Linked DNA regions of Kluyveromyces lactis. The protein of the gene in region 3 interacts with the protein of the main gene of each other region in a biochemical or structural test. Links are inferred from orthologs where the notes say so. Each region holds a gene or a part of one and is shown on either strand. Other genes may lie near its edges.

Region 1 (6,418 bases), on a different chromosome or scaffold from region 3:
CCTCTACCGGCTCCAATGAAGCTTCTAACGTTTGTAGCTCCAATCTTTTATTTTTAATAATTTCTTGTAAGGAAAGTTCAGTATCAACACTATTTCGAATTTTATCTCGTAGTGCTTCCTGAGTTGCCTTCAGATCATTTATCTTAATCTTTAGTTTTTTGTTTTCTTCTATGGATGCTATCAGCGGTTCCTTTTTATCTTCTTTGAACTTTTCCAATCGTAATTTTAATTCATTCTCATATGATTGAATTTGTTCATGGTTTTTACGTTTCAAATCTTTTAAATCATTCTCTATGATCGCTTTATCTGTGCTTAACTCTTCGATTTCTTTAAGGACAGCCGGATCAGGTTTAGTTTGTTTTAATTTTTGTAACTCAAGTTCCCAGATGTGTCTTTTATCAGATATTTTCAGCTGCCATTGATTTATCACTTCTTGTATATTTATAGAATGCTCTAAATTCAAGTTGTTAGTTATCAGCTCATGGTTTTTCTTCTTTAGCTCACAATCGTTCTTCAACTGATATAATTGTTCCTGCATCACCATGGTCTCTTGTTTCAAGTGCTTGAAAATGATGGATCTTTTGTTCAAATTGTATTTGAGCTGCGGGATAACCTCAGAAGTAAGGGATTCCAACCGAGAATCCGTTTCCTCAATCTGTTTAGTAAACAAGTGAATATCTTTTAAAGCTTTTCTCTCTCTTTTCTTAACCTCCTCAATAACGTTGGGATCCCCATAAAAATATTTGTTCAATAGTCTCATATTCGTACTTTGACTCTTCGTTTGATATGAAGGAGCAAATTGCTCCTTCTTCGAACCGCTACTGTTAGCTACTGTCGTTGTTCCTGTAGTGGTCACCATATTCGTTATATTTGCTAGCACAGGATGATGCTTCTTCTGTCCAGACACAGAACCTGAAGAAAACGGCTTCTGCCGTTTTCTTGAATTTATAGATGGAATTCGAGTCTCATTCATAACAAAAGGTCACTGTTCATCAATAGCATTGACTTGACAAGCTCTGATCAGGATTGTCGCCGCAATCGTAATATAATGCCTACCTTAAAATCAGGTAATTGAATAAAAAGAAGAAAATTAAGGCGCCCGTTATCTCGGTAGTTACAGTAACAAACGCACGGCCCAATTTGAAATCAGTGATACACAGGTGAGACACACCTGAAACCGAACCCAAAACCTGTTCTGAACAACTGTTGATGTTTCAAGCTTTTCTCATACAGTCTATTTGTTTATGTTTACAAAAAAAGCGATGAATACGTAAAATGTCATTTGAAAGTCACGTGGACAACAAATATATCTTTTCTTTATGTGAAAGACGATATGGTAACCGGGTAACAGTAAAATACCTTTAACTATGTATGTATTGTGCATAGATAGCACCGGTACACAGCGTGGGGAAACTTTTACTGATGCATGATAAATAATAATAATGATAATGGACTGCGAACGAGCTTGGTTGATTGCTCCTATTTACAGGTAATGCAACTGGTGTCACTCATGTCATGCTTCCCCTGTTGGGAAAAAAAGAAAGATCTAAAGCTGTCTCTTTTCATATGATGACTGAATTCAGTTTAGTCATTCTCTCTATTCGAAGTCTGAAGATGAAACATTTCTTGTCATTGAAGGAAGAGCGACTCTGATACCATCGATATCCTTATTCATTTTAATGCAACATCCCAATCTACTTGTCTCAGTTAACCCGTAAGCCAAATCCAACATATCATTTTCATCATCGTCAGGTTCTTCTAATGCGTCGTAATAGTCTGGGTCCACAATCACGTGACAGGTCGAACAAGCACAAGAACCACCACAGGCACCCTCCATATCTAGATTATGGCCTTGAGCTATATCCAAGAGAGAGTCCCCTTCTGCCACTTCAAAAGTCTTTTGTGTTCCATCCTTCAATATGAATGTCACATGCAACTCTTCTCCCGGTTTCGGTTTATGTAAATGTCCATGGTATCTCTTCCATGACAAATTTGTACGGGCTAACCATATGTTGTGAGAGATGCTAGGAGAAGTAATGCTTCTGGCTCTTAACTGGTTCAGATGCCCAGCTTGTCTAGTCAATATTCCTCTGATCATTGATTATACAGGAGTTTTTCCAAATAGATATGGATGATTAAAAATAATTCACAAACAACAACGATAAGTGTTACTAAAAGGAAACCAAAGACCCTTTCCGTCTGCTATACCACAATGAGAAAAAAAGCTGTCCTGAACTTTTATCAACTCTGATTCTTAAGTAGCTTTTATTTGGCAAAAAAAGGTTGCTTTATATCTAGTTCTCCCTTCAGTTCACATCGAAATTGGCAAATGCTTATTGTTAATCATTCAATTATTGAATCTCATCGGATTTTTCCCAATTTGTCAGTGTTCATGAAAACGCCGGTATGAAATGAAACCAAAGACAAAAAAAACAGACCGTTTCTGGGCCTGATTCCACCTCGGTCTTCCGCGGATTTGGCGGATGTGGTTCAAAATGATTGTTTGCCCTTATCTAGATACTGGTCTTTACATGACTCAATCAAAGTCACGTGAACAATGTATTTTTCTTTCTTTTTCTTTCTATTCCCTTTATTGAAGCTTCTCCCATGAGTTCAAGTTAATGTTAGGAATCAACGAAAAGCAGGCCTGGTGATTAAGCTGTTATAGCTGGTAACGGGGCCTACTTCAGACGTACATTGGCCTGCAAGTTTACATTCAAACCTTAAATTTCCTTTAGGTTGTGAAATTCGGGAAGAGATAATATAAAAAGGAAGGTTCTGAACCATATTATTTTATCAGGATGTCCTCATTATTGCAGAACTATGAATCTGAATGTCAAGTCGCTATAAACCAGGCGAAGGTTTTGCTTGCTAATGCTAAGAATGATGCCGGTGCTGTTTTAAAAGGTGGAAAATCGGATATACTTTTACAAATTCAACAGTACCATGATGAATCTTTAGAATTAGTGGATCAAATGGAAATAGAGTTGAATAATACAGGGAACTCGTTGGATTCTAAGACAAGGGCATCTTATAAAGCAAAGATCAGAGATTATAAGAGACAGTGTCAGAATGAAATTAAGGATCCTTTAAAGCAATTGGTGCAAGAAAGCGATAGGAATAAGTTACTTGAAGGTCGCCACTTCGATAATGATGAACAAAGGCAACAGCTTTTATCGAACCATGCGCTTTTACAACGTTCTGGTGATAAATTACAGGATGCTACAAGACTGGCATCCGAGACTGAGAACGTTGGTGCACAGATAATGATGGATTTGAGATCTCAAAGAGAAACATTGGAGAATGCAAGACAAACTTTGTTCCATGCTGATTCGTACGTCGACAAGAGTATTCGCACTTTGAAAACCATGACTAGAAGACTCATAGCCAATAAGTTCATTTCTTACGCAATAATAGCGGTTTTGATACTACTTATCTTGTTAGTGATATTCTCCAAATTCAAATAGTAATCGATTTCTCTGCGTCTTTTAGTTCAGTCTCAATGCAAGTTTAAGCAGAATAGCTATAGTAATGAATTTATATAATTTTAATTTTGACCCTTGTGGTATAATTTTATACTCTCATGAGAAGAATACAATTTACCGTGTATAAATGATATCTGATTTTGAATACTTATCTAGTTGTATATAAAATAAGAACGATATAAGAAATAATAATAATAAAAATAATAATGATAATGATAGTAATAGTGATGGAAAAAGGCCGGTCAGAATAGCATAGCGCTGTTCATGGAAGACATTCTAATTCATCTTCATCAGCTGAATTGATAGTGGTATGAGATAGACGCCTCCTTAATTCATTTACTAGACGTGATTCTTCTTCGGCTAACTGGTTCTGTTTCAGTTTCTCGAAGGTCACACCTTCTTCATCGTCTTCTTCGCTACTGATGATGCTTCCGGAGCGCTGAGCAAGTTTTGCAGATTCACGTCTTGTGCTACCAATACAATGTAGATATTTCTCCTCTTCTGTCAACTCAAGTTGCGTAGCTGTTAAGTTAATTAACGACTTGGAACTCTTACGCCTTGCAATTTTACGTGGCATGTTAGGCTTTAATTCGTTTAACAATGAATCGACTTGAGTTTTGTCTAAATTGGACAGAGTGACAGATGATCTAGGAGTTCTAGGCAACCTGACACATGATAAACCTGTGTCATGAATCCATTTAGCCACTAGCGCAGTCCAGCCACACTGATGGCTTGCACCCAAGCCCCTACCAGTATCACCGTCGAAATATTCATAGAAAGGAATTAGTTCCTCGAAATTAGGATCCTTAGACAAAAACTCACTGTATTCACCATGATATACAGCTCTTTGGCCTTCGGCATCGGGGATGAATAAATGAATTAATCTATGCTGAAGTTCTTCTGCCACTTGGGCCAAGTTTAGGAACTCGCCAGACCCCGTTGGACACTCGACTTTGAAGTCAGGACCATAGTACAAAAAAAACCTTTGCAATGACTCGACAAGCAAGAAATTTGTAGGGAACCAAACAGGCCCTCTCCAATTGGAGTTACCACCAAACATACCTGAGTTTGATTCACCTGGTAAATATTTGACTTCGTATTGTTCACCGTTAACGGACATAGAGAATGGGTGGGTTTCATGGTATTTAGATAGAGATCTTATACCGTAATCGGATAAGAACTCAGTTTCATCGAGCATCCTAGATAAGATGGCTTTTAACCGATCTTCATTAACAAGAGCTAATAGAAGTCTCTCACCGATACCTCTTTTTTCCATAGAAGCAATATTTCTATCAAACATGGCACTTCTATTGGAAAGGAACCAGTCAATACGTTTCTTAAAGCCAGGGAACTTATCTAAGATTCTCGGTTCCAAAGTCATACAAGCATACAATGGAATTAAACCAACGAGAGACCTGATTGGTAGTTGTTGCTTAAATGGTTCACCCCAAGAAATGGCATCGTAATAGAATTGGTCTTCTTCATTCCACAAACTTTCTTTGACTTCCTCTTTGAAGTTGTCTGCACTATTCTTTTCGAATTTGAAGGACATAGAATCACTGATGTACAAAAAGTGTTCGAAAAACTTAGTGGCAATGTCTTCATAGACAGGATTTTCCTTTGCAAGTTCTAATGCGATATTTAACATTTGCAATGAGAAGAATGCCATCCAACCAGTCGAGTCTGCCTGTTCCAATGTTCCACCTGTTGGCAAAGGTTCTGATCTATTGAAGATACCAATATTATCCAATCCTAAAAATCCACCTTCAAAGACGTTGTTACCGTCATGATCTTTGCGGTTAACCCACCATGTGAAGTTCAACAAAAGTTTTTGGAATACTCTTTCCAAGAACACTCTATCCTCACGGCCATACATATTTCTTTCAATCTTGAAAACACGGTACACAGCCCATGCATGAACTGGAGGATTTACATCACTAAAATTCCATTCATAAGCAGGAATTTGTCCGTTAGGATGCATGTACCATTCTCTCGTAAAAATATCCAATTGTTTCTTTGCAAATTCAGGGTCTATCATAGCTAATGGGATACAATGAAACGCGGTGTCCCAAGAAGCAAAGAATGGATATTCCCACTTATCTGGCAAGGATAATATATCTTCAGCATACATATGTTTCCAATCCTTGTTTCTCCCATTTGCACGGTTCTTTGGTGGAGGAGGCTTTTGCAGTGGATCACCGCAGTACCATTCGTCTTGCACGAAATGATAGAATTGTTTTGACCAAAGCAATCCGGCAAAAGCTTGTCTTTGCACCGCTCTCAGAGATTCTGGGATCGGAGCCGGAGTGACTCTCCAGTAGAAGTTATCCGCTTCCTGTTCACGCCTATCGAAAAGACTGTCAAAGTCATCTTCGTCGATAACCATTTCATCTTCGAACATCGGTAACCTGGTATCAGTCAACTTATATCTTACAGTGACGTATTCACCAGGGGGAACCTTGGGAAAGTGGTAAACACCACATGCCTTGGTACCTTCATTCTTCGGATTTACTGCCTCGGTATCCTTATTGACGATATATTCGTTGAAGGCATCCTTGGTATAAGGGGTGGGGTTTTCCTTTGAATCAAACAATTTCTTCCAATTCGATTCGTTTTCTGTGAACAACAACTCCGGTTCCACATCTAGGATACCTTGATCGTCATCAACACCATTAGTAGCAACTGTAGTCGGATGATCATCTTCTCCGTCGTCAAACTCACCCGGTGAAGGGGCAAAAATCGCGTAAGTGGTCCCATATTTCTCTGTGGACAAAGTAACAAAGTTATTACCAGATTTCTCTAGATGAGGCTTAACACGATCGGTTTCGTTCCAGGACCAAGTATTTCTGAAAAACACTTGTGGTGAAATATATAATTCCCCTGTCTTCGAGGTACTACGATTATAAGCTGTGATTCTAAAACTCAAATCGTTA
Region 2 (6,005 bases), on a different chromosome or scaffold from region 3:
GTAACTCTCTCAATCGACAATAGGAAAAAAAGGACTAGCAATCAATTGACCTTTAAATGAATCCAATAGAGTTAATCTCATCAATCCAATTGAATTCAGTAACCATGAATACCCCTAGACTACACATCCGGAACGATTTCAAATCAACTTAAACAATCTTTCTTTCATGATGACATGTATTGTAAAGAGGTTGCCTGAATTTTATATGAAAAAACGTTTAAGAACCATAAATGCGAACCTTAAAATAGACACGCATTAAACCAACGTATTAAGGGCACGTTTGTCAGAGAAAGAACAGCGAGAAAGGCTCAGTTGAACTAAACTATTAGTGTACTCAGGAACCATTATTTATTGGCTAAAATTTTTATACTTGTACTGACCCAGTGCCATCAATAACTTTAAGGTTCTTTGAAGGTTGAGATTCCAACTGCTATAAGATGAGTTTCCTATTCTATGGAGATTCGAAGCACCTGAGGAAGCGAGAGAGCTTCCACTTTGCGACAATTGAAAAGAGTGATTATTCTAAACAGTTGCAATCATTGCCTTTGCTTCCCTCTTCCTCTTCATTGAGACAAGATCATATATTCTCCAATGTGGCCAAGGAAGTAAATCAAATCAGTGACGATGTTGCCATAATTTATTCGAGACTTCAGGAAGAAATCGATACAGAACAATCGCAGACGAAAGAAGTAAATAACAAGATCAACCACTCGGTAAAAAAACTAGAGTCTAGCTTTTCTAAGTTAGTAAAACTACGATCAAAATTCACTAAGGATTCGGATAAACAGTTAAAACAGTTCGAAAGCAAATATTCTGACATTGATAAGAAGGTACGAATAATCAGAGATGTGAATGAAGAATTATTAGACTACGTAACTAGAAACGGTAGTATAAAAGTTGATGCGACGCAATTCAGCAAAATTTCAAAGCTGTTGCAAGAAAGGTTCCCAGAGAGTAGTAACACGACAGAAACCGAAGCGAATAAGGACAATAGTGGGCAGTCACAGAACGAAGCTAATTCCGAGAGTTTGAACAGCTCTTATTCGAGGCAAAGTACAAATGGAAGCCAAAATAATGCTAAAAAAGATTATCATAGTACCAAAGGAAATTCAGCGGACTCAAACACCACCAAATCGTACCGTCAGTCGATATCCTCGGCGCCATTAGCACTGTCATCAATCCGGAGTACATCAAGGCCATCAATCGCTACAACTCTTGAGCATATATGTATCACAGAACCGTTCACTAGACCTCGAGGCATGAGCAAATCGGCTGACTTATGAAAAGTTTCATGTCAAATTTACCCATTATTGATCTGTTCCACTTTTTACTTCACCGTTCAGTACATTATCTAATATCTTTGAGAAAATGACATACAATCCAGAATCCTTGTAGAGATCAACTAAGCTCTCTTTGAACCCAGTCTGTTTCTCAATCAACTCGACAAACGTCGGATCAATTGGAATATTCCCCAGGTACGGAACGTTATATTCGCTGGCTAATTTGAAACCGCCTCCTCTAGAGAAGATATCTGTACATTCAGCACAATGAGGACATATAAATCCGGACATATTCTCGATGACACCGAGTATATTGAAGTTGACTTTCTTACAGAAATTGATTTCCTTTCTCACGTCTGCCGTAGCGACACCTTGAGGCGTGGTAACAATAATAGCACCATCAGGTGCAGCCCACCTCAACTCTTCTGCGATAGATATATGTTCATCCGAAGTTCCGGGCGGTGTATCGATAATCAAATAGTCCAAATCTCCCCAATCCACATCTTTTATAAATTGTTTAATCATAGCACTTTTCTTAGGACCACGCCATACCACACTATTACCTCTATCATCCAAAAGAAAACCCAAGGACATGAGTTTCAATTCCCCTCCTGATGTCGTAGGAACACTAACGGGTATCCAACCCTTAGAAGCCTGATAAACCTGTTTATTTTCTAAACCAAACATTCTAGGCAACGACGGTCCAGTTAGATCAATGTCTAAAACACCCACTTTGTATCCCTTTAAACATAAAGTTAATGCTGTCTGTGTGGTGACAGATGACTTACCAACACCACCTTTACCAGAAAGGACCAATATAATGTGCTTGATGTCCTTTAAGGACTCAGGCATACCCAATAATTCGGTTTCAGCTGACATCGAGATACAATTGATTATGATCCTGGGACACTAAACGTACCAGCCACTGCAGATATGACTGTATATGCTCACAGTGGACAGAATACTTATAAAAGGGTATACTGCAAATACTTTTCTCAGCCGTTTAAACAGTAGGTTGACTAATACATTTAACTCTTAGCTTAACTAGGATTTCATGATGATAATGATACCTTTGTCAGAGCGAAGGGGAAACCTTCGAGGACAATATCACGTGATTAAACTTCAACAAAAAGTTTTCGTTAAGCGAATCGATTTGGTAGTAGCTTACAGATGGACTAGGAAGTTCCAAGGTGAAACTGCACTTAATTCCCTATGGTTAGATCTGAGTATCTTGACAAATCTACACTTTGTATTTTATTGTTGAGGCACTAGAAATAATTAAGGTATGAGTTCAAACTATAGTGGAATGCAAGGTGATTTGACACAGCGAGATGCGAGTAGGACGCAATTGTTTGCGGGTACTGACTTCTCTAAGTATAAACAACAACAGGATAGACCAAGTTCGCCGTTTGATAGACCATCCCCAGGGGTAGATTATTCTCAAGCAACACTTTCGCAGCTCGAGTCTCAAAGTGATGAACAAATGAATACCATGAGTGAAAAGATCAACGCACTAAAGAATTTATCTCTACGAATGGGAGATGAGATTCGTGGTAGCAATCAGACCTTAGATCAGTTAGGAAACGTTTTTGAACAGACTAGCAACCGTTTGAAAAGGACTTTCAAGAGAATGATGGTGATGGCTCAGAATTCTCGCATTCCATTAAAAATATGGTTCATAATATTTGGTGTTCTGACACTTTTGTTCTTCTACGTCTGGATACGTTGAGAGAGCGAGAGCGAAATAAAAAACCACAAAAGGGTCATGTACTGAAGAGTATCCCATCGAGCATGTATATCTAATTCGTATTGGTTAAACGCATTCCTTCACGCATTATATGTACCATTAAAAAGATATATTAATAAATCGTAACTATCAGTATTAGGTTGAAATATAAGATTATTTATAGGAAGAATTCCTGTTCCTCAATCCATGAGCTTAGCTTCCTTCCCGAGGATACCATGAGTATCCCGTTTTGCAGCGTAACGTCTTTTCAGTTTATAATGATGAATGGTTCTGGGTATTTTCCATAACGCCAAGAATGTCACCACAACAAATAAGTAATTGATTCCGCTAAATTCGCGGAGGTAGTCAATTAATCTGAGCAATCCACTGAGTGGAGTTCTCAAAAAGATGCGTTCAATACGAAGATCAGGGTGTCTTGCGGGGAAATTCAGAATGGAGAGGACTTCGGGCAACGTCTCTAGGGTGATGTATTGTCCAGAAGCATCCTTTTCGTAATAGATGGCTTTTTGCTTGTCCACGACAATGATATCACCAGTCTTGAACTTCCTGAAGTAAACATTTAGACCTTTATTATTCAAGAGAGAAGGGGATTCATTAATGTCCAAATAGGCAAATATGACCTTGTGATTATAACTGTAATTTATCTCTTTTCTCATGGCAGTGACTATATCAACGGATGGTGCGTTTTTGTTCTTAAGCTTTTGCACCAGTTTTTTCTTTTCTTCTCTGGCCGTCTTAAGACCTTCGTACACCGCCTCGTTACGCAATATTTCATAACTATGTGCCGCTACTCGTAGGCCTTCGACGATTTTCTTTGAACCTTCTTCAAACTTATTATTCTTCTTATTAACCAATTGAATTACCAACTTGTCATAGAAATCTTGTTCAAATCCTTTTAATGCTTCAAAGTTTTTGGATGTAATCTCAGTGACAGTTGGAAGAGAGTTTATAGTGAGCCAATCCAAGATGAAGTCCAAATTTCTGGTTTCAGTTGTTGAATATCCAGGGAATATGATCGGAGTAAACGTAGATTTCTTGAATATGAAGAACGTTGGTGATTGGGTAATGGATGTCGTGATAAAATGGTCCTCATTAATTTCAGTGCGTTGATCGGTATTATAATCTTTGTACAGAGTTTGATAGAGAGTATGGCTTAACTTCTTTAGGTCGTCAGTGTTCTTGTACAAGTAAATATTAGGGATGTATCCCAATGGGTCAATGAGTTGTTCCAAAAATTGCATATCCTCAGGGACAACAGTTTCCGGGTTATAATTAAATACAAGCAATATTTTATCGGCTTCGGCATTTGCTTCCAAAATGTCACTTTTTGGTTCTTTTACAAAAGCTTCGATCTCATCCTGATCAATATTTGGAACGTTACTGTTGTGTAAAGTTCTTGTAGCAAAATCAATCAAGGATTCGCTATCGACACGCTTTGGACCAAATGGGAACTTAATAAAACTACCACTCTTGCGGTTAGGTAAGATCAATGCAAATTCCGGGGCTCTTTCTAACCTAGAGTTTCTCTTCTGAGTCAAAGTATCGAAGGACAACTCCCTACAAATGGCTTCATTCTTTGAAGAATCTGTCGGATTCACACAGTTGAAATGTACCGTATTGATTCCTATCGAGTCAGCCTTGTTACTTACCAACTTCCAAATCCGTTGAAAAAGCGAACAGTCTTCACAGTTTTTGAACTGATAAGAAGATTCGATATCTTCAAAATCAGAGGTTGGCCAAAATGAGACAAAGTATGGTTCAGTTTGAGGTTCTGATAAAATCTTCAAGAGCTCACCATCATTCAACAGTTTACTCTTGCTCGATAGTTTAGTGATATCCAGATTGTCTGCATCCAGAGCTTCCTTTCTTGCAAAATTTAGCAAAGTTGTTTCAGTCCGTTCCAAACCTCTGGGAAATGCCTTGATAAAGCCTTCTGGTCCATATAATCTGATGGTAGGGTATGAATTAATACCCTCTTTCATACATAAGTCTCCTGACTCGATACAATCCACTTGATGGAGAGATATGTTGAGCTGCAAGGATTCATCGTAAAAGCCATTGTACGTCTTTTCCCAAATTGGGGCTAGCTGCTTACAATGATGGCAATATGGACTGAAAAATTCGATGATGTGTAGATTCTTTGCTATGGTCTCGTCAAAGTTGGCTTCAGTCAATGGAGACGGTAATTTACTTTCTGGATCCGCAGCATTACCTTGATTAGGATTAGCTCTTGGTGGTGCACCTAAAACCAATGGTATCGAAAGAATCAAGTATTGCAAAAGCCACAAGTGAGAAACCATTTCGGTAATAGAACCTTTAGCTGATATTTCTTAGTAGCACAAGAATTCCTAATTGCTCCAATACCTCACTCATGTATATATATCGTATTGATTTCCAACCTTTCCTATGTTGCATGTAGTCAAAATGGGCATAAGGCTATTTTAAATTACTGCAAAAAAAGATACTGATTGATAAGAATGATGAATAAAGGCATATATATATATATAAATAAATACAATACAAGTAAAGGATAAGTGTAGAGACTTTTGGTTAATTAACGATGAATATGAGAGAATATTTAAATGAATACGTGCGCGTGAGTATGTGGGTATACAGTTAAGTATATGACGTGTAGGTGTTAGTTAACGTCGTGCATAAATATTTATATAGAAAAGCGAAGATATTGAATGGAAACATAGAGATGATAATGAAAAAAAAAAACCCATCCATTCTATCCGCCCCTTTCTACCTCTATACTATCGTTCCAAAGTTTGAAATGCTTCCTGAAGTATTCAAACGAGACTAAAGTAATTGCTGATGCCGGTACAGTTCTGAACATATTAGTTAGGAAACCCGAATAAAACCCTCTTATCCCTTCCTTTGCATAAGTCGTTCGTATTATCGATTTAATGGAAGGTTTCATATCAGATTTCAGTTGTAACCTGGTTCTTAGTATTTCATGAGGGTAGGTGAGCGTT
Region 3 (6,338 bases):
CCAATTACACCAATCTACGAAAGACCCAAAAACAAACGCATGGATATCGATCCAATATTTACCAATACATCAGATGAAAGCTCAGAACAAGAGCATAAACGTCACAGGAAATTCAAACCGATCTTTTTACAAGAACAAGTTGTAGAGATGGAGCACTGGCCCAACTCTTCACAGCAACAGCATCTACAAACTAATAGCATGGAATCCATCACATTGGATCCCATAACGCAAAAGAGAACTCGCCAACAGACGCTAAATCCATCCTTTTTACGACTGTATGCATTAGAAACTAGTATGAAACAGAAAAATTTATTGCCTGACCTCAACTTAGATGAGTCCATTCTACAACGGCTTTCAATCCAAGAAATTTCTCAGTTGAACATTCCAGCAGATCCATCCAACAGGATATCACCACATCAAATCAAATTAGCACTAATAACAAGAAAGAAGCTTTGGTCAGACATGTGCCAGGTTACGAGGACAGATCTTCACGGTGAGCATGCACCAGCAAACTTGAAATTCGTCAAGGCAACAACTGTACGTGATTCTTCTTCATCAGATATCGAAGAAGATGAAAATACAAAGGAAACTACGTCACTCGTGAGATTGAACTCCGAGGTGAAACCTTGGTCACAACCAGAAATGTCACAACCAACTATGTTCAAACCATGTGGCAGAATTTCCCTTGGAAAAAACGCTAATTCCAAGGAGATTCAATACGTGGTGAAAGGTTGGTGTGACTGTAGATTTGCATGAACTCGAGCTGATAATATGCAACATAGATAAACAAAAAAAAAACAACAAAAAAAAGCATTTACCTTCCTATCACCGATACCATTATACAACCATATATGCATATATAGATATAGACATAGATATTTATTCTTCCCACCACTTCACTTTCCTATTCGAGATGTACTCGAGCAACTTATCAATTAATAATGATGCTATGACTTTAGTACCCAATGTATTAGGAACTTACGATCTTTTATGGATTAATAAGACACAGTAGGTCCCTCATGTCCACAAAAACCATCACATGATAACTACAGTATCTCTAAGATCTCATCTAGATATTGATCAGATAACACCATCTTCTAAAGCTTCAACACACACCCCACACAGTTCTAGCAGTGAGTTGGTTCACGGTGTCTATATGCAGTGATTTTAGTCACGTGATAAAGCCACAACGGATTTTTAAACTACTTGATTCAGCCAAAGTCCGTTCATCGAATGAAAAAACATGATGGTCTAAAGAGCATAAACGTATATAACAAGAGATTGGGATGAGATAAATCTAGCAGCTTCAATCAAGGAACTCCCCTATATCGATATATCGGAGACAGATTTCGAAAGTTTCCTAACATTATAATTAACTGCCAAACTCATCCTTTCAGATCGCAGTATCCAGTTTTAAAAAAAGTGGCACTTACAATACATAGGCTACAAGCCAATTAAATACAATTTCTGACCAGGCAGCTGAGAAATTGTCAACCTTCCAAAGATTAACACTGGATTTACGAAAGTCTGTTACGAGGGCGCGCAATCACTATAAAAAATGAGACCTACTCAAATTAGATTAATAAAAGTGAATCCTGATAAAATTCGCCGCGTTGCAGTCATCGGAGCTGGTCCAGTTGGATCAGGTTTAACAAAAGCCTTGCTGAATGAGAAACATTTCGAATCTGTCAAAGTTTTTGAGAAGAGATCCAATTTTGGTGGTCTATGGAACTATACAAAACCTTTACTGAAGGACTCTAATGTCACATCGTCGCCGTCTGTTCCTTGTGAATACCCTCACATTAGAATTCAACCTCAACCACACCCTGAAGAAACACATGTGTTCCAAACAGCAGTTTATAAATATCTAGATACCAATGTTCCTAAGACATTGATGGAGTACAAAGGTCACAGATTTCCAACAGACACCCCATTATTCCCTGTGAGAGAACAAGTGCTTGATTATATTATGAAATATTCCAAACCCATTGAAAAATATGTTACTTTCAACTCAGAAATTGTGAAAGTTTCTTACGAAGACGCAACAGCTGAATATTCTGTCAAAGCTCAGAACCTTCTCAGTAAGGAAATTACAGAGGAGAAGTTCGATGCCGTTGCCGTTGCTACTGGATTTTATGATCTACCATTTATTCCTTCAAGACCAGGTTTAAAAGAATGGAACGTGAAATACCCATGCTCCGTTTCCCATGCCAAGGATTTTGACTGTCCAGAAGATTTCCATGGTGTAGAAGGGGAGATTTTGATTGTTGGTAACAGTGCTTCTGGTGCAGACTTAGCATTTGAATTGGCTAACGAACTACAGAAGCCTATTTATAAGTCGAAGAGATCCGAATCCAAATTACCGGCCCCATTCGATCCTTTCATTAAAGATGTGCCTGATATTAGAGAGTTTAATCCGTCAACAAAATCGATTACCTTCGTTGACGGCACCGAATTAAAGAATGTGGAAAAAGTGATTTTCTGTACTGGTTACTTAAAGTCCCTACCATTTTTACCACAGAATGAATCTGGTGTCGGAAATTCCATTCTCAACAACTTAATTGGTGATGGTAGACGAGTACAAAACCTGTACAACCATATTCTTCCAATATCATTGCCAACATTCGGTATTATTGGCCTACCAAGGTTTGTTCTTCCTACAAGACTATCCGAGACCCAAGGTGCTTGGTTGAGCAGAGTATGGTCAGGAAGAATCCAACTTCCATCGGAGGAACTTCAACAGAAGTACCATGATTGGTTCATCGAGAAAAGTGGCGATGGAAGTAAGTATCATGATTTGGCATTCCCATGGGACGTCCAATACTCTCAACGATTAAATCGTGAGATTAGACATGCTGGTAATGGTGGTTATTTTGGTGTTGAATGGAAAGGAGATCAGATTAGAGCTAGGTCAGCCATCAACGCTATAAAAGAAGGATATGTCGCTTATTACAAAGCTACCGGTACAAAGGCCAAAACTCTGGATGAACTTTTGGAAAGTGGGTATCTCAAATGGCCAGAAGATTCTAAGTCCTGCGTACAAATTCCAACCTTTGTACCATAAGTTATCGAGGGTAAGTATAGTTCAATTATACTAATATCACAAAGGAACTTACGCATACATATTTGTCATTGGAATATGTCATTATCGACATTATCTTTGATAGATTTATAGACATGTCAAATAGATATAAATATGAATAATTCTGTACTTCAAAAGTGAATTAGGTATCAGCAGCTTCAATCAAAAATGAGAAGACTATTAAGTTATCACAACTATACCGTAGGCTTCAGCTGACATTTTTTCTTCTTTCTGCCGGAGGTAGAGATTTTGTCTCGGTTCTGATTCTGTTATGATATCCTTTGGAGAATGTTGAAAATATGAAAACTGACAAATTTCCATGTTTACCAGCTACATCTGGTAGAAGGGTTGCAAGGAAACTGTGAAAGGACTCTCAGGATTAATTGCCTGTTAGTAGTGGTGAATTATTACAACAATGAAGCGGTATAGTGTGTCATATGTTGAAGTTTGGGATGGAGATCGAGTTCTTTCTAGCTGGTACGACTCCAAGGACGAAAACAATAGTAAATATGGAAGCACTGATAAAGGGAGAGCCGATCAAAAAGCAGTGTTTCACAGGTTAATCGGCGATATGGTAATACGAACAGTGGTGAATCTTCCGGGAAACAAAGTTACAAAGACGTCTATCGACCTTATAGAGGGGTATGATTGCTATTATACAACTGCAGAGAACAATAAAGTGCTCATTTGTTTTGTTAAAGAAGAAGTCCCCAAATTCCTACCGTTGAGGTTATTATCAGAACTAAAATGTTTGAATAATGACAACGATGAATATTTGAAGAGTAATATCGATAATCAATTGGACAAATTCCATGAAGAATTATTATCTTATCGCACGGAAGGACAGCAGACAGCTGCATCCACTGAGGAAGAGCTACAAAACATTATTGCAATAATGAATGATAATATCGATAAGTTTTTACAGAGACAGGAAAGGATATCCCTGCTTGTGGATAATACTAATCAATTGAACGAAAATAGTTTTAAATTTCAAAGGAAATCCTCTAAGATTATGAGAAAAATGTGGTGGAATAACGTTAAGTTTTATTCCATTGTCATTATAGTTGTACTGGCGATTATTGTGATTGTGTCGTTATTATTACTACATTAGTTCTATTTTTTTTAAGTATAGGTAACCCATGAGCACACGAAAACGGTATAATTGTTTATAGTACTTATACTTCTTGCCACCTCTTCTCCACAAATCGATTATACGATCATTCCGTCTTCTGTTTTTTTGTGCTTAAATCCAGGTCGTTCTGGCGCGTGCTAGGTACTTGTTCTTGGTTGACTGGAGGCCCATCTAATTTATCATTTTCAGCGTTACCTTGTTGAACCTCAGTATCAGCTCTGGATTTAGGCTCGGCGTCAGCATCTGCGCCTTCTCTGCCATCGTCATCTTCATCATCTTCATCATCTTCCATTGCTATGTCTCCGTCCGCACCAGGCACAGCATTATTGACTTTATTTTGCTTCTTCCAAAGTATGGCTTCCTGGTACTCCTGCATCTTTCCCGTGAGTATGCTCTCCAAAGCACCTAGCCCCAACGTATCTAAAGCAGCCATGATATCCTGATCATTACAACTCTTTCTATTAGAATCCTTTGCGTTCATTCTAGCAAACATTAATAAGTGATTGACAAAGACTGTCGCTGACCTCTGCATTGCCAATGCAGCATCCTTACTAACCGTGATTCTTCTCTCTTCTTCGCCCTTTTGAAACGCGTTCTGAAGTGATTCCTTCGCTAGAGATGTGATTATGCTTTTAGGAAATAGTAAATCATCAATACTGATCTTTTCTTGTTCTTTTATATAAGACGTATTAGGATAATTTCCTTCAGAATCCTTTCTCCAACCTTTTGGTGGCATACCCGCGCTTGTTTGCCTCTTAGAGTTTTGTGAATTCTTTCATTTGATGGTTCTTATTTTCTTGAATCATTAGTGGTAATAAATCTTAATGCAAACGCACAAATTTCACTATAAGCATAATGATATTACTTCCACCAAGAGAACAGTAATGAAAGCTAAAAAAAAGTAGATAGAAGTAGTAACAGCTAATAGTCTGCTTCGAACTAGTCATCATATCCTCGATTAATATCGATACTGAACCATGTGTACCATATGCATTTCGTCTTGAGGTACTTAATCGTACGTGCCAAATAAACAATAGAAAGATTAAATCACGTGACATAGATTCCCATACTTTTTACATCTTTACAGCCTAGTTTCCAACTTTTCAATTTTTTCAGTCATGGGCATCGCATCTCATCACATCTCTTCTCGCAGAAATCAACTTAAGATAAGATATATAGCTTGATCCTCAGGCCTAGTAAATAATCGCTGAGGTGTGTGTCAAAGGCCAAGTAAGCGTTTTCAGCTGGTTTGTTTTAGGAGGGAAAGCAAAACCATATAAAGAAAAGTAAGAATTTAAACTTGCAATATGCTCAGGGCTGCCTTTCAAAGTTTGAAGTCAAAATTTGGCAGAAAAGTAACGTTGGATAGCTCAACGATCGATGTTTCTCAGTTCAAGGTGGTGCAAGAGGGTGATGCTAAGATATTATTTCCTAACAAGGAAACTGTGTTCTATAATCCAATCCAGCAGTTCAATAGAGATTTGAGTGTCACTTGTATCAAAGCATGGGATGAACTGTATCAAGAGGAACAACGTGAAAGCCGTGAACTGAAGAGCAAGAACAAGAAAAGGAAACCCATAGAGAGCAATGAAGATGGTTCCGATTACGATACTATCAAAAGGCGTAAATTAAACGAAGATCAAGACTCTGTAGCTGTGTCTTCAAAAGATCATTCTACCAGGCCGTACATCAAAATTTTGGAAGCATTGAGTGCAACCGGGCTACGTGCTATAAGATATTCTAAGGAGGTTCCTAATGTGAAGACTATTGTAGCCAACGATTTACTACCAGAGGCAGTGGAATCCATAAAGAGAAATGTCATCTATAATGAGGTCTCGGATAAAGTTGTACCCAATTTGGATGATGCAAATGTGCTGATGTACAGAAACAAAAGCAAAAATGAGAAATACCATGTAATTGATTTGGATCCATATGGTACCGTTACTCCTTTCGTCGATGCATCAATGCAATCCATCGAAGATGGTGGATTGATGCTGGTTACATGTACAGATCTATCGGTCTTGGCTGGTAACGGATACCCCGAAAAATGTTTTGCATTGTACAGTGGTGTTAATATGGCAGGTCACGATGCTACTCATGAAAGTGCATTGAGGCTAGTTTTAA
Region 4 (6,353 bases), on a different chromosome or scaffold from region 3:
CCATATATGCGTATATCTCCTGTAAAGCACTCTCCGAGTCCTTATCAGAAAGAAGAATATTTAACACTCGAGTTGAGACTTCCTTTGACAATGGACAGAATTCACGACGTTTCATATCTAAACCCTTAACTTCAAGAGTAGTTTTCTCATTGTTTTGCTTGTCAAAAGTAACATTCAATGCAGCATACTTTTTCTTAGCATGCAACAGTAACCTTTTGAAGATGTTATCAATGTCTATTTCAAGCAAACTGTATCTTTCATTCACCAGCTTTTTAAAGTTTTCACCAATTTTGATTGCATCCATGTAATTGTCACAGCCAGTACTGATCATGACCGAATCGGTATCACCGTACACAACTGTTAGACCCAGACTCTCCGCTAATTGTCTTGTGTTCATGAGAATTTCTCTCCCCTTATTTGTAACTAACATTGCTAACGGTTTAGCATAAAATCTACTGTTCACATAACCCAAACAACCATACATAGAATTTGCCGTAAGCTTCAAAGCTTGCTGCCTGATATCATATTGGGCTTTTTTACTTGCGTCATTTTCAGTCTTCATTAGATTTTTCACTTCTCTACGTCTTTGGACCAGGTTGGCCAATAATCTTGGCAGTACACCTCGTGATTTTTCTCTTGAAGGCACATCTGGAAGTTCTTCATTATCCTGTGGATTCCTGTCAACAGTAGTGAAGCAAATATTAAACTCTTGAATGATAGATGGGTACAACGAATTGAAATCCATGACCAAGATATAGTTTTTATGCAAACCTTTTTCTGGTTCAAAGACCAACCCACCCTGATATTTTGATTTTTTACTGGACACTTGTGGCTCCATAGGATCTTCATTCTTTTGTTGTCTGTCTTGCTTCATTTGCCTTGTTTCTTTATCAGGAACAATGTAATCATTTCTGTTAAATTCATGAAGCAAAATATATTCATTTCTACCAGCTCTTGTACCACCCAAAGTCTGTCTCCATCCATTGCCTGCTAAATTAGTCAGTTGTTTGGTTAAAGAGAGAATTTGAATGCGGAATGCAACTTCTGCTGTTATAATGGAGTTTTCGATGTTTTCGCCTAGCGCTAGAAGCATCTGGGATTCATCTTCCTGATATATTGGGTTTAGGTAATTAATTTCGAGAGATTTTCTTTCAATACCGCAGGAAACTTGATACATTTCGTTTAGTTCCCAATTTTGACATTTTGGAGTTAGTGACTGACCCATTTCATTGGAAATGTCACATAACAACCTACCTGCAAATAAATCCCTAACTATGAACTGTGTCATACTATTATTATGTTTTCCAAACTTGTCTGGCCATGCTTTCCGCAGTCTTCTCCCAAAGACACTAAATTGAGGAATATTTAACTCATAAGCTCTGTGTGCCAGAACATCCAAGATGACACCTTCCAATCTATGTCCTATTATAACATCAGGATCATTTACCTTCAAGAGAGCACAGAAACAGTTTAATAACGTCTTTTCGTTATTGAAGAGACGCACATTTCCGGATAATTCTTTCTTTGATTTAGGTCCCAGAAGAGGTGGAAAAGTTGATCCTTGTGGAGGCCTTACTAGTGTCACTATTTCATTTGGTTTGAGATTTTGTGGAATTGATGAATCTTGAGATAAATTTTTGAAGACAGCCATACTTATAGCAACAATTTCCTGCTTGTTTTCTTTTGCATTCATGACGGTCTGAATAGACAATGATATACAGTTCAAGCTCGGAGATGATTTTTCATTCGTTGCTGAGATATGATTAGGTGAATCAATTTGAACCTCAATAGCACAATGCGAAGCGCCTTGAACTGCATCAAAATCGCCATCTGATATCTTAAGCCAGCAAGGGCCCATGATTTTCCTTTGGACAACAAAACTCTCAAAAAGGTTTTGGTTACCACCGAAGACGTGACTGAATGTATCTCCCTCAAGTTCAGCGGGAATAGTAATTGACTTGCATTTAGGAGTATCATAAGGTAACAAAACCTTCAAATACTCCGCTTCGTGTGGTATTCCTGGAAGTTCAAAGGCATACTTTTTCGTTTCAGGCTTAGCGCGAAGTGATTGTAAGCCATATTTATCCAATAATAGAGGTACAATTTCTTGGTGGACATCAGACGCTGTTTTACCCTCCTTAGGTAGAAAATACAGCTCTCTATTGAAACCATTGATTTGCGCCATTGCAGAGACTACTTGATTCTTTCTCGTTTTAACTTTACCAAAGAGAATCAAAGAAGAGTTGACTTCGGTAAAATCAGTCCAAAAAAAGTTAAAACTACCGGTCTCAGCGTCTACTACATCCTCTTTAGGTATTCTTTGTCTCAGTGATCCGGAAATTGATTCTGTTGCTTGTGTGGACCCTGTAGAAGTTGACAATGGGGTGTTAGGAGCAGTGACATATGTTGGCGAAGACGTTAATGGTGCTGTTTGAGCGCTGATATTCATCTGCCTTTGAGTAGCTATTGATTTGAATTTTTTTCTACCAAAGTGAATATCATCTTCGTCATCTTCACTGTCATCTTCGCTTTGATATGTCTTCTGCTTGCTCATTGAAGGAGAACTAGCCACATCGTTTAATAATGATTCAATATCGTGGTCCTCTTCCATTGAATCACAATCGATAGGATTAACGCTATCAGCTTTAAAAGGTACAACATCTTTACCTTTAAGTGGGGATGTATCTACCTGAGGGTGTTTATAGTTCATAGGCGTAGTATTTGCAGGTTGTTTTCTGGATATCGTTAGCTTCGGCTTCTTAACCAGAGGCTCTGCGTCAAATTCACTCAAAATATCATCAAATTCAGCAAGTGACACTTTCTTAGGTTTTTCTGTTGGCATTGTCATTTTTCTCTTGACATTTTGTTGCTTTATGATATCGCTGATGGTATCCTTACCTTTGTTATTCTTACTGGTCTTATTACGCTTTTTGCCTGACTTTGCATCAACACCATCGTCTTCATCAGAGTAGAACTCCTGACTTTGATCCCATTCATCTACACCACGATCCACATATCCACTGCCATCATCATCTTCAACAAAATCATCTCTTAACAACTCTTGTCTTTTCTTACTCCTATATTGATCCTCGTCAATCAAGTCATACACATTTTCTTCTTCCAGTTGTTCATCTAGCACATCCCTATTCGATTTATTATTCCTAGCTTTCTGCAATTTTTTGAGCAGTTCAAGTTTGTTCGCATTACTCATCCCGAGCTAGTGTTTTAATAGTGTAGGGTGGCAGTACGAACTACCCTAGTAATTTAGTTTTGTTGTCTTTCCTGGTTTGAGTTGCAAGAAGAAGATGATGAAGATGTTCTTACTTTTACGCGTTCTTTTTTTTTTTAAAGTTGTATCTATCTGCAAAGCACGCGTTCGAAATCTATGAACTTAATGGCACCAACGCTGAGACAAAGCGAGAGTGCATGAGAAGAAAAGCGAGCGAAAGATTGAGTGACAGTAGAATACCGACAACACTTGAGTGGTTAAACGGTGAAGCCGCTGAAGTGTTAGAGAGTGTGCGCTCCTCAATATTATGATACGAATTTCCATTAGTTGAACCAATTGGCGTTGGCTTGGAAAGAAAAATGGATCACATGACCTGTGGTTTAAGACTGTCCTCAATTTTAAAGTGCTCAAATTGAGGTTTGTGATCATTAACTGAAGGGAAGGATAACTGTTAAGGAAACAGCTGATAGCAGGACCCGTAAAGATAATCGCGTTACATCTGATGTCCTTTTATCAAAATAGTACTCCAAAAAAGGAGGACAATCGTGCAGATTCTAGTGGAAACGATGCGGTGCCTTTGTTGATAACACTAGAACAGAATATTCAATTACTCAAGCGTAAAGCTCATCTAATAGGGACAAGCAAGGACGGACAACTATTGAGGGTTGATATAAAAAATAGAGTAATCCCCGAAATCCAGAAAATTAGTCGAAAACTGGCTGACTTAACTTCGCTAGATACACAAGATAAATTTGCTCGAGATTTTCAAGCGTTAAGCAAACAATATAACAGTGTAAAGACCGATTATGAGAATAGGGCAGTACAGAATCCCATACCTGACGAAGAGAGTAAAGATAATGAATCGGAACATCTCGTATCGCAATATGAAAGCATGCCAATACAAGACGATATCGAGAGGAGGGATCATTCTTCAGAGGATACTCCGTTACTTTTGTCTACCCAACAGCAAGAGCCTTTGTTGAATCAGGATGAGTTAGATTTTCACACGATAATTCAACATGAAAGATCCCAGGACATATCAAAAATCCACTCTGCTGTGCAAGAGGTCAATGCCATCTTCAAACAACTAGGAAGTCTGGTACAGGAACAGGGCGAACAAGTTGACACAATTGGCGAAAATGTGACAGGATTATCTAATAATTTGCAAAAGGCGAACAAAGAACTTCACAAAGCAAATGAATATCAAAGGAAAAAGAACAGATGTGGTACAATACTTCTAGTAGCTATTGTTGTTATCACTCTAATAACTCTTATCGCGATTCTATCATAGGGTTAGATTCTACGAGGAATGTAACTATATATTAATACAAAATTTATCTCTGGCCTTATACTTGGATGAAAGTTACGTTACGTTTTAGAGAACACGCATCATCAGGTAAATATGTCCGACTTAGAGGTTACAACTAATTATTAATCATAGCTTACTTGTCAGTATCCTTTTTAGTGCTTTCGGAGGAGTTATTTTTGGATAGTTCATAAGACTCAACATTCTTGAGATCTCCACGTTCAATGACAAGATTTTTGAGAAGTCTGTTTTCCATTTCAAGGGTATTGATTCTTTGCTTCAAGTCACAAGCTAACTGTGAAAGATCTTGGACCCAAGTTTCCATTTCTTTCTCTTTAAGTTTTTTAGTTTGATCCAAGTTCGGCAGTTTGGGTCTTGAAGAAAGGGTTGAGGAAGTGGACGACGATTCTACACCATCACTGGAGGAATTGTTTTTATCAGAATCAGTATTATGCTTTTTTTCGTTTATCTTCTCATCGAGACTCTTAGCAGCATTTTCCTTGTCATTGAGAAGTTCTTCCGATTGTCTCACCTCTTCCTTCAATTTAGCAGACGTTACATCCTTCCTAAGAGAGGAAGCTGATTCTAGTTTCCTGACAACTGATTTTGGTGTTTTACTGATACCATCATCCAGTGTTTGCTTTGCAGAATTCTCTTCGCTTTCTTTCTTTATGTTGTTAGAAATTGAGCCGTGGTGCACTTTCGGTGAGTTTTTCATATATGTATCAATAACTCTAGACTCTTTTTCCACTGGAGTTTTTTTGGCTCTTTTTGGATTAGGTTTATGGACACTTGATTGAGGAGATGGCTCAGGTTTTTCATGCAAAAAATCCAATAGCATGCCAACGGAGCTTTGAATATGTTCTTGAGGTTCAGGAACCAGTTGATTTTGCGAATTCACATCTATCGATGAGCCCAGATGGGAAGCTGACGATGGTGGTCTATTTGTAGAGTGATTATTTAAATTAGTTGGCTTCCTCACAGGAGGATCAAACTTTTCTCTTTCTCTTTCATAATAAGCCATAATAGCAGCTATGGCGTCAATCTGTTCTGGTTTAAAGCCAACATTACGCAAAGACTGGTAAGCACCTCTGGGAACATTAATGATAGGCAACAATGATACCAAAGTCGCAGTTTGTATTGTAGAGTAGTCTGGCATCTGTATATTTGATTCAAATCCTGATGTTGCAGCCGTACTTGGACGATACGGATTTTCGTTGCTATTGACATGATTATTACCATGGTTACTAGCTGTGTTGACGATTGAAGAGGCAGACGATACAGTGGTATTGGACGGATATGACATTGAAGTTAAATCATATGCGGCTAATAAATTTGTTAGTGGGGAAGTGGCAAACGGCATATCTCGTTGGCGGTTTGCACTTGTGCCATTTAGGTTGCCTGTATTATGACTATTGGATTGGTCTTGAACATCAAAGTGTGTAAATCCTCCATGATCGGGGATCGGAGAATTCTGTGTCGATGACCTTTTCCTCGAAAACCGTTGCCGCGTATGATCATACTGGTTTCCCAGCAGGTTTGATTTTCTATCGAACAAGTTTCTCTTTTCCGAAGAGTTTCTGTTATTATTATTATTATTATTATTATTATTATTATTATTGTTATTATTACTATTATGATTGTTACCACTGTTATTATTATTGTTATTGTCGATGTTATTATCATTAGTACTAGGATTAGCATTGTTGTTCAATCCGAAGTTATGGTTGCTGTTGTAATGGTCGCCGTTGTCATCGCTATCATGTCTATCAGCTTTGTCTTCATCTGGGAAAATAAAAGTCTCATCTGCGAAAACAC
Region 5 (6,376 bases), on a different chromosome or scaffold from region 3:
TTACTGGTCAACTGAAGTTGCTGTCCCTTGACACATTTTACCAATGATTGAGGGAAAGAATAACGTTAAGATCATCCCTCAACCTAGGGTCAGAAACAAGGATGCTGTTGATGAAGATTTGGTAGGAGGGAATATTTACACAATGCCGAACCAAGAAATAGAAGAGATTATTTTGTCTTTGAAAAAGTTATTGGATGGGAACAGAATGGTGCGAGAACGCGTTGATGCAATTGATGATCAAGTGAGAAGGACCCAGATGGATCTTGAGAGTTTAGTGTCAAGAAGTTCAAATAACAATAAACACTTACAAAGTTTGCTTCTTTCTTCGAAGGATATCAAGGAATTGCACGACGTATTGGATAAATTGAGTGTGCAACAGCATGAACAGATGGAAAAGAACCGCGATGTGGAGTCTGTTTTGACGCGGTTAATGGAGAAACAGTCTTTGGAATTAAAATCATCGATGGAAAACGTTGAAATTCAGACATTGGAACAGAAAATTAGTCAATTGGAGGCCAAGTCTGGGAAACTGGAGTCCCTTGATGCTCAGGTCATCGCAAAGGAGAAACAATTGGCAATAATTGAAACAAAATTACAGGAAAGGAAGGAAAGATTTGATGAGCTACGACAAAGGGCGAAAGAAGTACAATCATCTTTACAAGATGATTTACTGACCCGTTACAAGACAGTTCACGATACTATGTCTGTTTCTATGGCGAATTTGGCCAATGGATCTCGCCCAGCGGGAAACACATCACGTGTAGCCAGTTTGCTACGAAATAAATATATGAATGACACATTCAATGGAAATAGACGAGTAATATCGTTAAACGAGCCAAGACCTTCATCGTCTTCTGCATTTGATAGCATACCGCAGAATAACTCTGATTTTGAAGATTCTTCATAAGATTCCATATACAATCGATAAGTAAACGCTATCATCTTATGTGGAAATGCATCTTCACATTGCAGTAGAAGGTTTACTTGATCTGAAGGAAAGGGATCATAAACATAGATTCATAGCTAATAAATTCCTTATGTAACATTAATGATGGATGAACTCATTGATTCCTTTGTCTGGAGATCGAAATATTTTGCTCCCCTTACCTATATAAACGCTTGATTTTCATATTACTTTTCATTCACAGAGAAATAGTGCACTTGAAATTTACAAGGTAAATAAAATAATCAAGTAGCAACTAGTACAACAATAAAAACTGATGGCGAGTTAACAAGGGAGAAAGAACTTCAAAAAGCAACATTCGGAGTGTTGAAAATGGAGGAGATCAAAGATTCATCCATCCTACGTCCGTACTATGATCCAGAGACTTTCAATGTTGGTTATTCAGCAGTATTTCAGAATGACAAAGGTGTCATCGACCAAAACGGTCTGAATATCGCCTCTAAGTTAACAATAGTAAATCAATCGGTGGGCAGCGGCTTGAAGTCGCTTAATAGAAGTTTATCAGGTGGTAACACCTTAACTGAGTTAACCACTGGTCTCAAAAACAAATTTCTTCATGGAATCATGAACTCCAAACACGGTAATAATGCCAAATCCCTTAACGATCTTGAATGGAATGATTTTATCAACGTGAATGTATGGAGACACCTTCTTGAAAGGTTGCTTAGGCAGCTATCCTCAAAATACTTCCAGCATTTAATTCGCCAACCATTCGAAATTGCAAAGTTGCTTTTGCAAGTAGGTGACTTTGATTACCTTACAGATGGCAATAAATCAGCCTACTATAATGATAATGATAATGTTAATGACAACCATGAATTTGAAGATGATGACGATGACGAAGCCGAGCCAAACTTCTTCGTCAATGAGTCACAAGCCAATCTGATTGAAAGAGCAGCAAAGGAGGAACAAGGCGTTGCTGATGAGAATGGTACCTTAATCAAACCTGCAAGCATCCATACCATTGATATTTTAAACAGTATTATGGATAAAGAAGGTATACAGGGTGTATGGAGAGCTAATAATACTGAATTTATTTATAATTTCCTATCCATATCGTTGGATGCATGGTTTACTGGTTTATTATCTCCGCTGATGCAAATTCCAGATCCATATTTTATTGATATCATACACTCACCAGACGTAACGAAATCCGCAAGCTTAATTCTTTTGGCAAGTTGCATGACAAGACTTGTATTATTACCGTTGGATCTCGTCAGAGTTAGGTTAATTATCTCTTCTGTTCGTAACGATGGTTCCCTTTCTGATAACGATAGATCCTTAAGAAAATTGTTGAGAAAATGGTCCTGGAGGGAAAACATATCCAAACTAAATAAGGAATTGGTCTTTTTGAATATATTATATTCCCTGGTAGGGACAGGATTTAGCAAATTAACCGGTGCAATACTATATCATCAGTTCAATGTTGACAAATTCACTAATGTGATTCTGTACAACACATTAAAGTTCTGCAGTAAAGTTTGTGAACTCTTCGTAAAGCTACCAATTGAGAATCTATTGAGAAGGAGTCAAGTGAAGTTCTTGTTCACAGAAAACCCATTCCAAGTACAATCTGAAATGTTAATCATAAAACCAAGGGAGTACCAATCCATCTACCTGACGGTATTCAAGCAGTGCGACAGAATTAGTGAACTATGGCGAGGCTGGAGACTCGGGCTTCTAAGCATTTTATGCGGTTATGGTTTGAAGATTTTAAATAAGCCATCAGAAATACTCGAAGAGGAGAAGTTTTAGTTCATGTAGATATCTATAAGTGAACTGGACATTGAAGGAAAACATACATATATAAAATAATAATAATAATACAGATGTCTTTAGTTTAAGAAAGTCGTAAATTCATATCTACGATGAAGGCTTCTGGTTCATTTCGCTTGCATCAATCAAGAACTGGCCTAATACTCGAAGTGGATCCTCGGGCTTTTCTCTGGCTATCAGTTTCATTCCTTCCAATAAATGTTTTGTTACATGTTCATTCAAATATCTTCTAGTGGTTGACCCACCGATCATCGCTACTGGATCAACACGATCATGATCAATTTGTAGTTCCTTCTTGGGTGATACTTCTCTTTCTGTTGTAGCTGCAGTTGCAGAGGTAACAGTTCCAGATGATTCCCTTGGTATACCCGATGGAGACAGGGGTTCAGTGGTAGAAATCGAAGAGACGCCAATATCCGGTACAATATGTTCTTCTTTCTCAAGTTTTACCACATCTTCAGGTGCCATATTCTCCATCACTGGTTCTGACATGTAGATAAGCTTCAGTTGTGGCAGGAGACCAGGATTGGAGCTTTATTCGGCCAAGTCTAGGTGTAGATCTGTCCATGTATATAGTCAAAACTCAGTGATTTTTCAAGATTGTCAATAATAAAAGGAAAATAATAACAAACTGAAATCTTAAACAAAGTTCACCAAGGCAGGTACAATTCGAGCTCCCCAAGAAACAGACCGCACTGAATCAGGTAATACCAATATTATATCAAAATTAACCACCAAAAGCAAAGAGGACAAAATGGATCCATTTATTCAGGTTTTCAAGGACACAGAGGAACAATTGAACCAATTATTGCAGATATTAGATAGGAAGAAGAAAGGGAGATCGAACACCAGTTCGAAAGAGATCTCGGAAATCATCTCTGAGGCTCAAGAGACTATCCAAGATCTAAATGAGAGTATAGAAATGATGAAACAGGAACAAGCTATTCCCGAATACGAAATTCAGACCCGTGAGAAGTCCATGGCAAACCTGGAATCAAAATTGAAACAATGCCAGTCGTTAAATATCGAGACAACCCGCGACACCGATGCAGCTACCCAATCATCATTGCTGCCGCAGCAACAACAGCGTGGCGATTCCTTCGATTTGGACATCGAGGCAACTGCAGGCACCGACCAATCAGACGCGGCAAACCACGACGCCGTACAGGAGCAATTACTCCGTGAACAAGACAATCAATTGGACATGATTCACCAGACAATGCAAAACATTCATCTACAGGCATCTACAATGGGTCAAGAACTAACAGAACAGGGCATGATTCTCGAAGAAATGGACGGAAATGTCGACGGAGTCATGAACAAACTTTCCAGAGGAAGACGACAACTAGAATGGGTCTACGAACACAACAAAGAACGTGTCAACGACTGCTGCATCTTTCTCTTAATCATTGCATTGATCATCCTACTAGTACTAGCATTCATTTTGTGATGTATATCACCGAATTTGAACCGGGAACCAAACAGAAACCAAAAAAGGAAGAAGACGATGCACATTCCCGAGTAACGAAAGGTGCGAAGTTTCCTAAGAGAAACTGACACAATTCTTGACCCCCCAGTTGACGGATCGTCATCGTCGTCGTTCCATTCCTCTGATAGACAAAATACCTCTCGACACTGTTGCGGTATGGAAAAAAATCGGAAATCACAACATACGACAGCGGCTTTGAAATCGTACCACAATGGAGCTTTCGAACTGATTTTTTTGTTGAAATATATAGAAAGTATGGAAACTGAGAAATGGAAAAGTATTAAGACCAAGTTAGTTTTTAAGGTACAAAAGCAAAAGGTTGCTTGCTGGATTGGGTTTTTTGCACGTCAAGCTACAGTGTCAGATCCAAGACTATCGAAGAGAGCGATTTCATTTAAGAGGCGAAGGGCACTAGGATTAGGACGGAGTTGATAATACTTACTGGCATTCATTCCCGGATTTTCTGTGTCTTGTAATTATCGTTTGTTTCCCGACTTTTTTTTTCTTTCTCTATTTAGGATTTATTCAGGCTCTTTTCTTTAGAATCGTTTTTGAAATTTTTGGCCTGCAAAAACCCTCTATATCTCTTCACTTGATTTAGACTAGCTGAAGGAATCAATACAATATTGGCAGCGGCGTGTGTGATATTTCACTATTTTGTTTAGTCCCCTCTCTAACAATATCCATTGATAGAAATTGAAGTCAAGATTCTTATAGTTTCTGGCTGTTCTCAGGGATAAAATAACAGCACAGTTTTTTTTTGCCTTACTTTATTATATTCCATTTTAATTTTGCATTAGGTACCGTGGGGACTGATTCTTTGCTACTTCTAAATATTCTCTACTAGAGGGGCGAATCATTTGTACAAATTGGTTGATCCAAGCGTTCTGTTTAACCTCATTTTTCACCTATTTTCTCTCTTTTGGTCCAGTTGCGAATAGAAGATTAAAGGTACCCCTTCTTGCTACTGCTTGTTCATTCGGTCGGATTTTAGCACAGATAGAATCTGTATCTTTGAATTGATTAACAGAAAAAGAACCCATATATAGAGACAGAGAGCAGCGCAACGTTCAATATGAGCAACACTGAATTCATCGATAAGTTGGAGTTTGCATCTCAACCCTCGGGAAAATCTGAGGGGAAGCATCACATTGTTATTGTTGGTGCAGGTATCATCGGGGTATGTACTGCTTATTATTTGACAAGACACCCTTCGTTTAGCAAGGATACACATCACATCACCGTTATAGAGTCTAAACGTGTAGCTGGCGGTGCCTCTGGTAAAGCTGGTGGTTTACTAGCGATGTGGGCTTTCCCACAGCAGATTGTCCCACTTTCTTTCCAACTCCATCAAGAATTGAGTGACGAGTATAACGGTGAAACCAAATGGGATTACCGTCGGTTGACCACAGTTTCCCTTGAGGCCAACGTTCAAGATGATACCGTTTCGTTAGATCCAAAAGAAACTGGAAGCAGTGTCAACGATAATAGTAATGACGGCGATGACGACGAAAGTTATGCTAGTAATGATGGAAAGACTACCTCAAGAGCAAAGCCATCGCAGAAAAAGAAATCCAAAAAAGCATGTGCAGTGGTGAACAACGAACCTGTTTCCAGAGTGGGCACCACTGAAGACGACGAAGATTACGAATATAGTTACGGAGAAGATGATGAAGAGGACGAGGCACCTGCATCGGAGTTGGATACAAAATCCTCGATTGCATTATCTAAAGACCCATTACGTCTACCTAGTGATTTGAACTGGATCAAAAAACGGTTGGTGAGAGATTGGTCATCTCTTGGTGGAACTGACTCCACTGCTCAAGTACATCCTTTCAAATTCACTCACTATCTACTGTTGAAGGCAATGGAGACTGGGGCAGTGGATTTAATCCTGGGCAAAGTGTCACAGTTGCATTTCAACGATCAGTGTGCCGCAGCGGGAGTATCGTACATTCCAACAGTTGATGATCCAGAAGAACAACGTTTACAAGAACCAGTTGACCTTTTGGACGTTGACCAGGTTGTTCTATGTATGGGACCTTGGACTTCTAGACTATTGCCGGATTGTCCAATCTCTGGTTTAAGAGCACATTCCATCACAATCAAACCATCCACCGGAACTGTTTCGCCATATGCTATATTTA

Evidence for each region.
Region 1: the proteins of NYV1 (region 3) and VTI1 form a complex in vitro, tested with the Saccharomyces cerevisiae proteins (2 studies listed by BioGRID). The link is inferred for Kluyveromyces lactis from reciprocal best matches to the Saccharomyces cerevisiae genes NYV1 and VTI1.
Region 2: the proteins of NYV1 (region 3) and BET1 form a complex in vitro, tested with the Saccharomyces cerevisiae proteins (2 studies listed by BioGRID). The link is inferred for Kluyveromyces lactis from reciprocal best matches to the Saccharomyces cerevisiae genes NYV1 and BET1.
Region 4: the proteins of NYV1 (region 3) and VAM3 form a complex in vitro, tested with the Saccharomyces cerevisiae proteins (11 studies listed by BioGRID). The link is inferred for Kluyveromyces lactis from reciprocal best matches to the Saccharomyces cerevisiae genes NYV1 and VAM3.
Region 5: the proteins of NYV1 (region 3) and TLG1 form a complex in vitro, tested with the Saccharomyces cerevisiae proteins (2 studies listed by BioGRID). The link is inferred for Kluyveromyces lactis from reciprocal best matches to the Saccharomyces cerevisiae genes NYV1 and TLG1.

The regions. Positions count from the first base shown.
Region 1 is NC_006038.1:897,246-903,663, reverse strand, and holds VTI1 (v-SNARE protein VTI1), read left to right. Parts: upstream 1-2,801; coding exon 2,802-3,467; downstream 3,468-6,418. Other genes in the region: CIK1 (Cik1p), read right to left, coding at 1-973; YAH1 (adrenodoxin), read right to left, coding at 1,598-2,098; KLLA0_B10263g (uncharacterized protein), read right to left, coding at 3,748-6,418. UniProt on the Saccharomyces cerevisiae protein: t-SNARE found in various SNARE complexes involved in multiple transport pathways. The composition of the t-SNARE complexes is specific for a limited number of v-SNAREs and therefore allows only the vesicles carrying the matching v-SNARE to fuse.
Region 2 is NC_006040.1:1,197,764-1,203,768, forward strand, and holds BET1 (Bet1p), read left to right. Parts: upstream 1-2,565; coding exon 2,566-3,009; downstream 3,010-6,005. Other genes in the region: VAB2 (Vab2p), read left to right, coding at 438-1,283; iron-sulfur cluster assembly protein CFD1, read right to left, coding at 1,308-2,159; protein disulfide isomerase EPS1, read right to left, coding at 3,207-5,327; YIA6 (NAD+ transporter), read right to left, coding at 5,759-6,005. UniProt on the Saccharomyces cerevisiae protein: SNARE required for targeting and fusion of ER-derived transport vesicles with the Golgi complex.
Region 3 is NC_006042.1:1,797,426-1,803,763, reverse strand, and holds NYV1 (Nyv1p), read left to right. Parts: upstream 1-3,497; coding exon 3,498-4,193; downstream 4,194-6,338. Other genes in the region: GIS3 (Gis3p), read left to right, coding at 1-756; KLLA0_F19470g (uncharacterized protein), read left to right, coding at 1,559-3,064; DPB4 (DNA polymerase epsilon noncatalytic subunit), read right to left, coding at 4,300-4,950; TRM1 (tRNA (guanine26-N2)-dimethyltransferase), read left to right, coding at 5,522-6,338. UniProt on the Saccharomyces cerevisiae protein: Vacuolar v-SNARE required for docking. Only involved in homotypic vacuole fusion.
Region 4 is NC_006039.1:1,127,187-1,133,539, reverse strand, and holds VAM3 (SNAP receptor VAM3), read left to right. Parts: upstream 1-3,731; coding exon 3,732-4,520; downstream 4,521-6,353. Other genes in the region: DNA-directed DNA polymerase alpha catalytic subunit POL1, read right to left, coding at 1-3,211; MET4 (Met4p), read right to left, coding at 4,672-6,353. UniProt on the Saccharomyces cerevisiae protein: Required for vacuolar assembly. Provides the t-SNARE function in a late step of the vacuolar assembly. Required for homotypic vacuole membrane fusion, autophagy and fusion of biosynthetic transport vesicles with the vacuole.
Region 5 is NC_006041.1:316,673-323,048, forward strand, and holds TLG1 (Tlg1p), read left to right. Parts: upstream 1-3,494; coding exon 3,495-4,190; downstream 4,191-6,376. Other genes in the region: KLLA0_E03477g (uncharacterized protein), read left to right, coding at 44-907; mitofusin complex protein UGO1, read left to right, coding at 1,277-2,719; SDC1 (Sdc1p), read right to left, coding at 2,828-3,232; TDA3 (Tda3p), read left to right, coding at 5,305-6,376.